3 linked regions of the Mus musculus genome follow. The protein of the gene in region 2 interacts with the protein of the main gene of each other region in a biochemical or structural test. Links are inferred from orthologs where the notes say so. Each region holds a gene or a part of one and is shown on either strand. Other genes may lie near its edges.

The links.
Region 1: the proteins of Mtor (region 2) and Stat3 form a complex in vitro, tested with the Homo sapiens proteins (2 studies listed by BioGRID, with this or other methods). The link is inferred for Mus musculus from reciprocal best matches to the Homo sapiens genes MTOR and STAT3.
Region 3: of the proteins of Mtor (region 2) and Eif4ebp1, one has a biochemical effect on the other in vitro, tested with the Homo sapiens proteins (29 studies listed by BioGRID and IntAct, with this or other methods). The link is inferred for Mus musculus from reciprocal best matches to the Homo sapiens genes MTOR and EIF4EBP1.

What each region holds. Positions count from the first base shown.
Region 1 is NC_000077.6:100,890,997-100,894,640, reverse strand, and holds part of Stat3 (signal transducer and activator of transcription 3), read left to right. Parts: intron 1-424; coding exon 425-477; intron 478-655; coding exon 656-750; intron 751-836; coding exon 837-976; intron 977-1,354; coding exon 1,355-1,567; intron 1,568-3,644. UniProt on the Homo sapiens protein: Signal transducer and transcription activator that mediates cellular responses to interleukins, KITLG/SCF, LEP and other growth factors. Once activated, recruits coactivators, such as NCOA1 or MED1, to the promoter region of the target gene.
Region 2 is NC_000070.6:148,447,222-148,451,406, reverse strand, and holds the start of Mtor (serine/threonine-protein kinase mTOR), read right to left. Parts: upstream 2,826-4,185; 5' UTR 2,720-2,825; intron 1-2,719. UniProt on the Homo sapiens protein: Serine/threonine protein kinase which is a central regulator of cellular metabolism, growth and survival in response to hormones, growth factors, nutrients, energy and stress signals.
Region 3 is NC_000074.6:27,259,011-27,263,197, reverse strand, and holds the start of Eif4ebp1 (eukaryotic translation initiation factor 4E-binding protein 1), read right to left. Parts: upstream 2,872-4,187; 5' UTR 2,790-2,871; coding exon 2,648-2,789; intron 1-2,647. UniProt on the Homo sapiens protein: Repressor of translation initiation that regulates EIF4E activity by preventing its assembly into the eIF4F complex: hypophosphorylated form competes with EIF4G1/EIF4G3 and strongly binds to EIF4E, leading to repress translation.

The sequences.
Region 1 (3,644 bases), on a different chromosome or scaffold from region 2:
AGCCTAGGGCAAGGCACCATGCCAGGACCAGGTTGCTAAGTGTGTTTGAAGAGCATGTTTCTTTCTTTAAAAAGCCAAAGACAATAGTTTTAAATTTTTTCTCCCCTTTAAAAAAATATCTGGACTGAAAGTAACTTTGACCTGTGCTCCTACAAAAAAAAAAAAAAAAAGGCTCCTGACCCCAGCTGCCAGCTTTGTCACTGTGTGTTGCCAGTTCTCAGACCACACAAGGCAAGGACAAGCAGGGGTCCAACAGGACATCTGTGCTGGCCTAATCTAGGGACAGCTGTTGGGCTTGGGTGTGTGTGGGCATGTGTGGCACACACCCTGTAAGTACATGTACAAATGCATGGCCTTTTTGTAAATTCTGCTTAAGAAATAGCTTTGGCCAAGGCTGAAATCCGGTTGTTGTTTTCTCTTCCAGGGCCTGGTGTGAACTACTCAGGGTGTCAGATCACATGGGCTAAATTCTGCAAAGTAAGTGATCCTGTTGATTCCCTCAGTTAGGAGGTAGGTGTGGGGTGCCCAGGACCCCTTTCTCCAGCAGCTGTCAGGAGCTGCCTGAGGATAGAGGAACCTGAGGGTGTAAGAAGGCTCTGGCAGGAAAGAGCTGGGGTGAGTGGTGGTGGACTTGCTTTCCCATTCTTTTCTCCAGGAAAACATGGCTGGCAAGGGCTTCTCCTTCTGGGTCTGGCTAGACAATATCATCGACCTTGTGAAAAAGTATATCTTGGCCCTTTGGAATGAAGGGTAAGGTTAAACTCTGCAGTAAGGCTGCCCTGTGTAACGAGTCACCTACTCCCAGCAAGCCCGTGACTGGTTGTCCTTGGCTGCAGGTACATCATGGGTTTCATCAGCAAGGAGCGGGAGCGGGCCATCCTAAGCACAAAGCCCCCGGGCACCTTCCTACTGCGCTTCAGCGAGAGCAGCAAAGAAGGAGGGGTCACTTTCACTTGGGTGGAAAAGGACATCAGTGGTAAGAACGCTTGCCTCCTGTATCACTTGCTCCACCTGCTGGCCACTGGCAGCACCCGGCTACTTCATGTTCTGGGTACTACTGCCCCCTGAAGGGCAGAGAGGGCCTGTGCCTCCTGAAGAGGTGGCCTGCCAGTTTGTCCTGTTCACTCATTTGGCTAACATTTGTGTAGAAAAGTGTGATTGAAATCTTACTTCTGTACTCCCTTTCCTGCCTACCCCGTTAATACATTTGCGGCAGGTGTTTTTGCCTATGAGCCAGCTGGATCTCTACAAGCCCGCCTGGATATTGCCTCAGTTCCAAGTCACTGGGCAGGGCATTCAGAGTCTCCAGCACTCACTCCACTGGCATAATCTCTCCTTCCATGGTCCGTGACAGGCAAGACCCAGATCCAGTCTGTAGAGCCATACACCAAGCAGCAGCTGAACAACATGTCATTTGCTGAAATCATCATGGGCTATAAGATCATGGATGCGACCAACATCCTGGTGTCTCCACTTGTCTACCTCTACCCCGACATTCCCAAGGAGGAGGCATTTGGAAAGTACTGTAGGCCCGAGAGCCAGGAGCACCCCGAAGCCGACCCAGGTAGTTGTTGACTTTCCATGGCTTTGCCTTCCTTCCTAGTGAGAAAGTACGCATCCTTGGAGAGACAAGGACATGGCTGAGTATCTTGTGGGAGCAGGGCTTGGTGATTCCTTCTTTTGGGAAAGAGTGGTTTATTGGGTTCCTTGACAGGGTGACTAACTCAGGATTCAAGAGGAGGACAGAATCAGCCCTCAGGGAGCTTGGAAGTCTGAAGATGAAAATAGTATCTCTCCCTCTTCCTCTCTTCTCCCTTTCCATCTCCCCCTCCCTCCCACCCCGCCACTTTAAAACACTAGAAAGAGAAATGAAGGCAGGTCTCTCTGGTGCTTCTCCAGTCAGTGGGTTCCAGAAGACCCGAGACAGATTTGAGTCCAGCATGCTTTGCTGTCCTGAGTGAGCAGTGCCAGGAGTCTGAAGAAAGGCTTTCTGGGGCAGTGGCTGTTGGCAGCCTGGGGCAGAGCTGACATCAAGCTGGAGGTGTTGATGTTCCAGAGATGATGACTGGAGGGAATGTGGACTTGGCATTTAGAAACAAGATGCATCTACTCTGTGGGAGTGCGTGTGGCTGTAAATCAGCATTTCTCAGCCTTTCACGGAGCGCTTAAGACTATAGGAAAACAGAGATTTCCATTATGATTCATAACTGTAGCAAAATTACAGCTATGAAGTAGTAAGAAAAAGTAATGTATGGTTGGGGTCACCACAACATGAGGAGCTGTATTAAAGGGTCATAGCATTCAGAAGGTTGAGAACTGCTGGTATAAATTATATGAAAAATAGAAATTATGTTGTGTTAAGTCTGTAGTGTCTGGGGCGGTCCCAGTGTAAAGAGTCAGAGGTGTCTGGTCTGAAGCCATTTCAAACTTGTTGCATTGACGCTTGCCTCTGTCCTTATGCTGGTGAGGAGTCTGGTTTTCTAAGACTGTTGTTGATCATTGCACATGCTGAGCTCCGAGGTGCCCTGTGTGAGCCGGCCTCCTTGCTCTGAGGTGCCCTGTGTGAGCCGGCCTCCTTGCTCTGAGGTGCCCTGTGTGAGCCGGCCTCCTTGCTCTGAGGTGCCCTGTGTGAGCCGGCCTCCTTGCTCTGAGGTGCCTTGTGTGAGCCGGCCTCCTTGCTCTGGTGTTTTTTCACCAACCGCTTCTGTTCACATAGCACCTGCACACAGCTTCCCCGGCTCTGCCCACCATTCTTGGAGGAGTCGCTTGTTGACGGTTACTTTCCTTTCCCTTTGTTCTGCTGTTGAGTTCTCTTCATTCTGTGGAGGAGTTCAGCTCTCACTTCCTGTCTGTCCCTTATCTCTGCTTCCACCTTGCCTTCAGTTGGAAGATCTGTTTATCAGTCCCTCTCACACTGGTCTTTGTTCTTTTCACAGAGGACTTTGAAGTCCGAGCACTGATCCTTTTGACTAATTTTGCTTTCAAGATCCAGGCCCCTGGTCAGGCATCCACCTCCATCACCATTCCTGTGTAGGCTGCCCAGAGACATTCCTCAGGGGCAAGGCCTGGGCATGAGAAAGGAGCCCACTGCCTGATGGGCTTGCCTGTGAGCCTAGGGAGAGTGCACTGGGGGCTCCGGAGCCCGATGATGGAAGGGTAGGGGGTTCAGATGATCCCCTTAGGGAGGTGAGCCTGTATGTCCCTGTCCTCTGCCCCTGCTACAGGAGTATTGCAGTAGAGACCTCCCCGGAGCCTCGTCCTGGGTCTTCCTTGTCTGTCAGGAGGCTGTAATATACCCTGTGCTCCTCTGGAGGGATTTTGAGCAAGTTCACCAGGCAGCAACAGGATGTTCCTTCTCTCTTCCATCTCCAGTCTGTGTCCCGCACTCCTACCTCGGGCCGGGTCAAAGAATATTTCTCTCTTGACCACTGGAGAATGAAAGTCTTCTCTTCTCCGCTCTAACTTATTGTGTATGCATGTGTGTTGGGGGTGGTCCTTGTTGGAGGACCTTGAGGGTGTCAGCTCTCTCCTTCTACCATGTAGCCCCTGAGGACAGAGCTCAGGCTTGGTGACAGATGACTTAAGCACTAAGCCATCTCCCTGATCCCCTCTGTCTCTTTAAGGTGACAGTTCTCACTCTAGAG
Region 2 (4,185 bases):
ATTTATGTACACACACACATACACACACATACCACAGCATATGTGAGGTGAGAGGACAACTTGCAGGAGTTGTCTCTTTATGTGGATCCCAGAGATAAAACTCAGGCTGTCAACCCTGGCAGCAAGCACCTTTGTCTACTTAGCCATTTTGCTGGCCCCTTTAAAAATCTTTTTCTTTCATTTTTTTCAGCCAGTCTTCTATTCATAGCATGACCCTGAACTCACGCCACAGTTGACGGCCTGGAACCACCAAGCTAGGAGTCGAAGGGTGCTGAGATTCCAAGCTGGGCTCTGCATGCTGCAAGCATTCTACCGAGACGGAACACCGTCCCCAGCCCCATCCTTCAATACTCTATAAACTCTGTTAGTAAATTCCTCTGTGGCCTTCCTAACACGGATTTCCACTCATTTATGCCAGGCTTGGGACTCCAGAGACTACCTGGGCTTAAATCCTGAGGCAAAGTCACCTTCCTTAAGGGGGACACTTAAGACTCCTCAATTTCCATGGCACCTCAGTAGAAGAGCCTAACTCGTGGGATAAGGTGAGGATTTACACATTTAAAAGTGTTTCTGGGAGTGCAACACACAGCTCTTCTTCGCTTTTATAACTATTGTAGATGTGGTCTAAAGTCAGGAGTAGGGCAGAAGAGAGAGAACTAAAACTAAGGTTTCTCCTTTCCTCAGACTGTCATTTGCAGGAGTGTATGGAGTCTACAGCAGTCTGGCCCAACAGAAATATAATACAAGTCACGTGAGTCATTTTATGTTATTTTATTTTATTTATGCATGACTATCTGAGTGTATGCCACATATGTGCAGAAGCCTGCAAAGGTCAGAAGAGGACATTGGAGTCCCTGGAGCAGGAGTTGCAGGCAGTTGAGAGTGGCCTGACAACTGGGGTCCACTGGATGAACAACAAGTGCTCTTAGGTGCTGAGATATTGCCAGCCCTCCATGTAATTTTAAATGAAACAGGTGAAACTCACAGGGCGTACTCGATCCAATAATTCAAAAACTCATTTTGAGACCGAGTTTCCAAAATCTCGCATTCAACTATCCCGATCTGGATCGGTCATACCTCAGCAGCTACATGTGGCTACAGGCTGTTGTATGGATGGCATAGTGCAGCTGTGCAGGGTACTAGCATGGCTAGCTCGTCTCATCCATGGATTCTGAACCTGGAGAGTCTACCAAGGATGGACAGAATATCCTAGGGTGTGGGTGGGAGGGATGCCTCAGTGGGAAAGGGAGCTTGCTGCTAAATCTGATGACTGAGTTCGATCTCTGGGACCAACAAGGTAAAGGAGAGAACTCCTATAATTTGTCCTGACATCAACGTGCACACCACTGCATGCACGGCACCTCCCACCCCCCATCAATAAATAGTGCTCTTGTCATTATTTGCTACATGGTAGAGTATAACAACCATTCATAGTGTATGGTACAGTATAACAACCATTCATAGTGTATGGTACAGTATAACAACCATTCATAGTGTATGGTACAGTATAACAACCATTCATAGTGTTTGAAGGTAAAAGCAAGGGAGGTGTGATTTAAAGCATACAAAAGGTTATATACAAGTACTGCACCATTTCATAGGACGAACAGGCATTCACTGGGTTGGGAAGGCAGTTCTAGAAACAAATACATACATACACACACACACACCATAGGAAATAGCAACACACTCAAATGGTGAGCTCAACACTATCACTCATTTTTCAACTATGTGATGTTTGTTCCCTCAATAAGTTTACCATCCAGGGGACCCCAATAAAGTGGCCATTAAAAAGGGGCTAGCCCACTATGCCATGGCAGTAACTAACATATACACCTATCCTGCCAGAGTATACTAAAAAACAAAAACAATTCCCGAAGCACTCTGGCTTTGAAAGAATCTGTGAGACACAGCCTAACATGCACAGAACCCCTTGTTCAATCCCCACCACCTCATAACCAAGGCACGATGCCACACATCTTTAAGCCCAGCACTGAGGGAGAGGCAAGAAATTCAAGGTCATGCCGGGGTTAGGGATAAACACAAAACATAAGGAGTAAAATAGTCTTGAAAGGCTTTCAAACGCTACACTACAGGGGGAATAAAATACTATAAAAGGAACTGGGCCGTTTTAGAGCGGAAGAAACCACTACTGAGCGTGTAAGCACACGAGGCAGCGGGAAGGAGACCGACTTGGACTTTCTATTCTCATCACGTCAGTAATTAGACAGTCACTTGAAGGTTTACCCACAAGCCAGCTGCCCCAGGCTGGATTCAAAGTAACTATTTGAGTCACAAATCCCAAAGGTTGTGAGAATGCCTTAGGGGAATTCGAGTTGAAAGGTTGAAACGTGAAGGGAGGGCGTGACCCTGAGGCTGACCCTGCGTGGGCGCGGAGGTCTGGGTTCCTGGCAGGTCTCCATGGTGAAGTGTAGGGGGCAGATCCCGAAACTGGAGCTCCTGGGGACAGGCTCCACCGTCAGTAGGTGGGTCTGGAGTTCCAGGTCCTGAGCCCGAGAAGGAGACCTAAATGCTCCACGGAAGGCCCGGAGCAGATCCGCCAGCCTGCGGGGGTCTCCCCGAGGGCGCGGAGCTGGTGCTGGGGCGCTGTACGGTTCAGACAGGCGGCTTCCCGGGCCTCCCCCAGCACGGCCCACACTGGCTGGGAGTCTGGCCGTCCCGCCAGCCGCAAGCGCCCGACTCCAGGCCCCAGACTCACCGCGCGGCTTCGGCCACCGCCTCAGCTGCCGCCGCCGGAGCCGGTACCGCCGCTTCAGGCCCCCAGCCTCAACACCCGCCTTCCCCGCTGTCTTCTAGGCCAGGGAGGTGGGGAGGGCGGGCTCGTAAGCGCTACAACCAATCAGCGGGCCGAGCTCGAAGATGGGGAGGAACATCCACCAATAATCATGAAGAATTGGAGCTTCGGGACCGGCTTCTCGAGGGCGGGGATTGTTCAAATAGACAAAACGAGCAACCAGTGGCAAGCAAAAGGAGGCGAAGGACTATTCCGAAGAGCCAATCAGTCGTGAGTTGACTTCGGTCACTTCCACGAACACTTCCGGTACGTCGCTACTACAAGTCCCCTCCACACACGCTGTGACCGTGTGGAGCCACGGTTTGGTACCCTAAGGACCTGTTGAAAGAACTGGGGCAGAGGTTAGGGATCGTGCTCGGGATGCTGAGAAGGGGCCGAGTGTCCGACGCTCTCGAATCACTGCAGAAGACATATCTTGGAAATCGGTTCACTGAGGAACTCTTGCTTTCTCGTTTGTAAAACTGAATATGCATTTGCAAGGGTTTTTTTGTTTTTGTTTTTGTTTTTTTTTATTCTCACTGTCCCCAAATTGCCTTACTTGTGAGCTCATTCTCAGGATAAGATGATCACCGAACTACTTTAAATACAAGATTTTAAAGAAAAATCCTTAAAAATTTTTTTTTATTTTTCAAACGGGCAATAGCCGGAGCTAGGGATGTAAACCAGTCGATAAGAGTGTTTGCCCACCCCGGCGTGGTGGTGCACGCCTTTAATCCCAGCACTTGGGAGGTAGAGGCAGGTGGATTTCTGAGTTCGAGGCCAGCCTAGTCTACAGAGTGAGTTCCAGGACAGCCAGGACTACACAGAGAAACCCTGTCTCGAAAAACCAAAAATAAAGAGTGTTTGCCCGATAGGCATGAAAGTCGTGGGTTCAATTCCCAGCACTGTGTAAAGTGCATGCCTGTCTTCCCAGAACTCTGGTGGTGGAGGTTTAGAGGGTCAGAAATTCAAGGTTGAACTAGGGAGATTTCTCAGTGTTTAAGGCCCTTCCAGAGAACCTGCTCCAATATATAAAAATGTATCATTAAAATTTTTCATATGAAATTTATGCAGATCTTTTGTTTAAATCTTTATTTTTTTATCAGTGTTGTAATACACACTGAAAATTCCTAAATAGCTTGAATTAGGAATTTGAGTGAACTATTAAACACATTAATATTAAAAGAAACATGTGAAGCTATTAGTAATGATAATGCAGATAAATATTTGCTAGTAAGGTAAAGATTTCCAATTAGTTGAAAGCGTTAAATGTTTTTAAGTTAAAAAACAAATTAAAAACACACCAAAGTACAAGTTATACTACAATACAACCCTTTATAAAGCATTGATAACACTTCCTAGATACTAATTTGGGGAAATGCCAACTAAAA
Region 3 (4,187 bases), on a different chromosome or scaffold from region 2:
TGCCCTGGTCTCCAGAGGCAGCTGCTTCAAAGCCATTCTCAGCTGAAGTAGCTTCCTGTAGTATTTCTTCATGTAGAGCTTGCAGCCCCTTACAGGTCAAGTCACATGCCAAGGAGTATAGGAAGCTTAAGTTCAAGAAACCTGACTTTATGCCTGGATATGAGATCTACTTTGCCAGACTCCTAAAGATCTGGAAAGGCAAGGAAAAAAGCCGTGTGTGTGTGTGTGTGTGTGTGTGTGTGTGTGTGTGTATACATATATGTGTATATATGTGTGTGTGTGTGTGTGTGTGTGTATACATATATGTGTATATATGTGTGTGTGTGTGTATACATATATGTGTATATATGTGTGTGTGTGTGTGTATACATATATGTGTATATGTGTGTGTGTGTGTGTGTGTGTGTGTGTGCGTGTATGGGCTTTGTTTGTGTGTTGTTTATCCCTTTCCCTTGTAACTCCTGAGTACTCAAAATGGAATGTGAGCCAATCAAGCATATAATGGTTAGGCAGATGACTCAGTCCTGATTCAAGCTCATGGGCTTTATACGCCCATAGATCCAGAGGACAGAGTAGACCTCAGGGTGATTCACTTGACCTTGAACTCCCAGCTGGCCCCTGATACAAGTAAGAAAATTCAAAAGTTAGATGGATTTGCAGAGAATAGATGAGAGCAAAGAGAAATAGCCCAAAGGGTATTCAACAGCTGTTAACCCCGGAATTACCAACACTCAGTAAGGTGAGGCAGGAGGATCTCTGTGTAGCCCTGGCTCTCCCGTAACTCACCCTGTAGACCTCTGCACTCGGATTCCGTATCTCGTTGGGGTGCTAAGTGATGAGAAACATTCTGGAGCAAATGGGTCAAGCTTCTGCCCTTTAGCAGAGGCGACCTGGAATGAATGGCCTTTGGGAAAAGATCCCACTCCTTAAATTAACTGGCTTTGGCAGAAACAAGCAAGTCTTTCCTCGAGCTATGGACTGTGTGACACACAAACAACAACAACAGCAACAAAAATCTGACAAGGGCCAGCTGGCTTTGGGGACCTGACACTGCTTTCTTTCAGTTAAGAAGCAAATGCTACACTCTAAGGAAACCCCTTCCTCTTCAAAGACAACGGGAACTACCTGGTCTGCCAACGGACACTTCGCAGACCACAGTGAGAAGTGGATCAGAGTGCATTACAAACAGTACTGGCTATTGCTACCCAGCTAACCTGTTCATCCAGAAAGGGACGGGCAAGAGAGAAAATAAACGTTTCCCAGAGCCTTTAGGTCTGTATCGGTGCCTATAAAAAATAAAAATAAAAAATACACCCTGATTCACACCTCGCCTAAAAGGACTCAACTCTCTGTGAAACTTTGTGCTCAACACAAAGTTCTGCGAAAAGACAAAGGGGCAACAGCGTGAACTAAAAAGTGGCCAGCGGGGTTGAAGAACTCCAGTAACGGGAGGCCAGAAGCCTGCAGAAAACTTTTCCTTTGGGCCGTTTCTAATAAGAGGGAGCCGGCTTTCTCCCCCTGCCCTGCTTGCTACTTCTTGCTGAGTGTAGGAACTCAGCATGACGATGCACAACAGACACGTGCTCAAGCAGCGAGGCCTTGGTGCTGTGTCCTGAAGATCACAGAACCCAGTGGACACTGACTGAGCTCCAAGATCCCTTCATCGGTGCCTTGGTTCTGGGATCTGGCTGTGCTCCCTGGTGCAGGGACAGCTGCCCGAGAAAATAGGCATGTGGCCCGGCTGCGCCAGCAGTAGCCCAAGGTTCATCACCGCGCCAGGATTCCTCTTGTTTTTGAGTTGTAAGAGGAGTAGTTGGGGGAGGAGACCGGGGAGGGGAGAAGCGCAAAAGTGGGTGGGAGCGGCGCGAGGATTGGGAGGGAAGTAGTGAGCCACGAGGATTTCATCATGCAAACAGGCGGGTAGGTTTCATCAGCGTCTATACTGGGGCTCCAGGGCAAGCTGGGAATGCCTGGTTCCCGGAGGCCGGCCCCCACCCGCGCCAACTCAGCTTCCTCTTCCTCATCCTCCGCCACTTGGGCCAGTTCAACGCTGTGCCCTGCCCCCCAGGCCCGAGGAACGTGTTGTTCTGCACTACACCAGACGCCGCCCCTGCAGGAATCTCTCTCTTAACACAAGCCACAGGTGGCAGAGAAGCACCCTCAGCGTCCAGCCTCCATTAATGAGCGAGTGTCCAAAGCAAAGAGGGCTGCCTCCGGAAAGGTTAAAAAAAAAAAAAGTGTGCAGGCGTCACTTATTCCAAGGGAGATCAACTAAACTTAATCTCCAGGCCAGCCTCTTTCCCTGATCTTGTCCCACCCCAAACTGCCCTGACACCCACAGAGGTCGCCCTTAAGCACATGGTGGTCCTGGCAGAGTGCCTATCTGTATGCTCAGGGCACTCTGCCGTATCTCCCAGGAAAAGGCTAATAATGCAGGCAGTTTGCAGCCGGGTTCCAGACCACGCTCCACCACACCCAGAAGGCGAGCAACCGAGACGGTGACCCTTCTGCTTTCCCGACGCCCCTCGTCCGTTCTGGCCAGCTACCGAACCCCTCGAATGCCGCCCTCCCCGTCGCACGTGAGACTCCGGATCCCGACGTATCCTCCAGCCCCCCGAGGTCGCCCGTGACCCCGGCCAGCGCCTACCTCCCGGGGTGGTGCTGAAGAGCGTGCCGCCCGGAGTGGTGCTGTAGTCCCCGGGCGGGAGCTGCACGCCATCGCCGAGGGCTACGCGGCGAGTGGGGATGGCCCGGCTGGGAGTCTGGCTGCAGCTGCTGCCCGCCGACATGTCTCCTGCACGCCGCCCACGACCCTCCAGCAACCCCGCGGCACCTCGGCCCAGCCCTTCTCGTGCCCGGCCCGCCCCTTCCGCCTGGGCTCCACGCCCCCTGAGACTTGCGGTCCGCCCGGCCCCACCCAGCCCCAGCCCGCTGCCTGCAAGTGGTTCCCCAGCTGCTGACCTAGGCAGCTTCTGTCCTCTCCAGTGCAGGAACCCCAGTGTGGGCCCCTTGGGTTCCCTGGTTCCTCCCCGAGACTCTGGGAAGATCTAGGTAGGGATGACGGTGGCAGAACTCTCCGATTTGGTGGCAGCGTCTCAGCGCACCAGACCGCCTGCTTTCTATATTAGGATGTGACCTCTCGATCCCAGGCCGATCCTCAGAGAAGAAAGGGTGGGCTGATCCTTCGCCATTCTTAACGTTTCTACAGCTTTTACAGTTTTACAGTTTTTAGGAGTCAGAGCAGCGGCTGCACAGCGCACATTCCTGGACTTGGAAGGAGTAGTGGAAGAGTAAGAGGGACCTAGCCAGCCAGCTAGGAACCGAATATAAATCTGATGAGGAATGGGCAGGATCGAAGCTCTGCGTACTGTGGGCTGGGAGGATTAGAGTTAACCGGTCAAAGATCCGCATAGTACTTGGACTGGGTTCCACTCCAGCACTTTGTCTGGTAGTCACTAGGGAGGGAAGGGAAAATGCATGTCCAATCGGTTACAGTGTCTGTGTCAATCAATCTCCATATGGTAGGAAATGCCTATAATCCCGACCGTGAGGAGGCTGAAGCCCTAGGAGGATCCCAAGTTGACAGCCGAGGGAGGGCCAGAACCCTGTTCTCACTGTTGTCCGGGCTGGCCTGAGAGAACACACTGGGCCACCTTCCTCCCTTTGGGAGAAGCATGTTGAAAGGGGTTTTGCTTTTTGCCTTGTTTGGTTGTTCTAGAGGCCCCAGATTTCCTGGAACTACGATTTCAGGGAAGGGCCTGTTTATAAAGTCCAACATCCAAGTTCAGCATTCAAGTGGTCCACACTTGTCCCAGCAATGAGGAGACTGAAGCAGGAGGATTCTAGCCTGTGCTACCCAGCAAAACCCTGTCTCAGACACAGAAAGAAGAGAGAGAGACTTAAGCTGGGCATGCTAGCTCAGAGAAACTGAGACAGGAGCATTACAGAAAAGCTGAGGGCAGACATGGTTGTGGCGAGTTTGATGCACAGCCTGGGCCAGACATGTTAAGACGCTGTCTTAAACCGTGAAAGAGAGAGAGAAAAAAAAACACGGGGAAGGGGAAGCTTGGAACACAGCTCACTTGGTAGACAGTTTACCACGTATACACTAAGTCCACGGTTAAATCCGAAGCATCAACATAAAAACTGAACGTGGTGGCACTTTGTAAGCTTATAATCCTAGAACT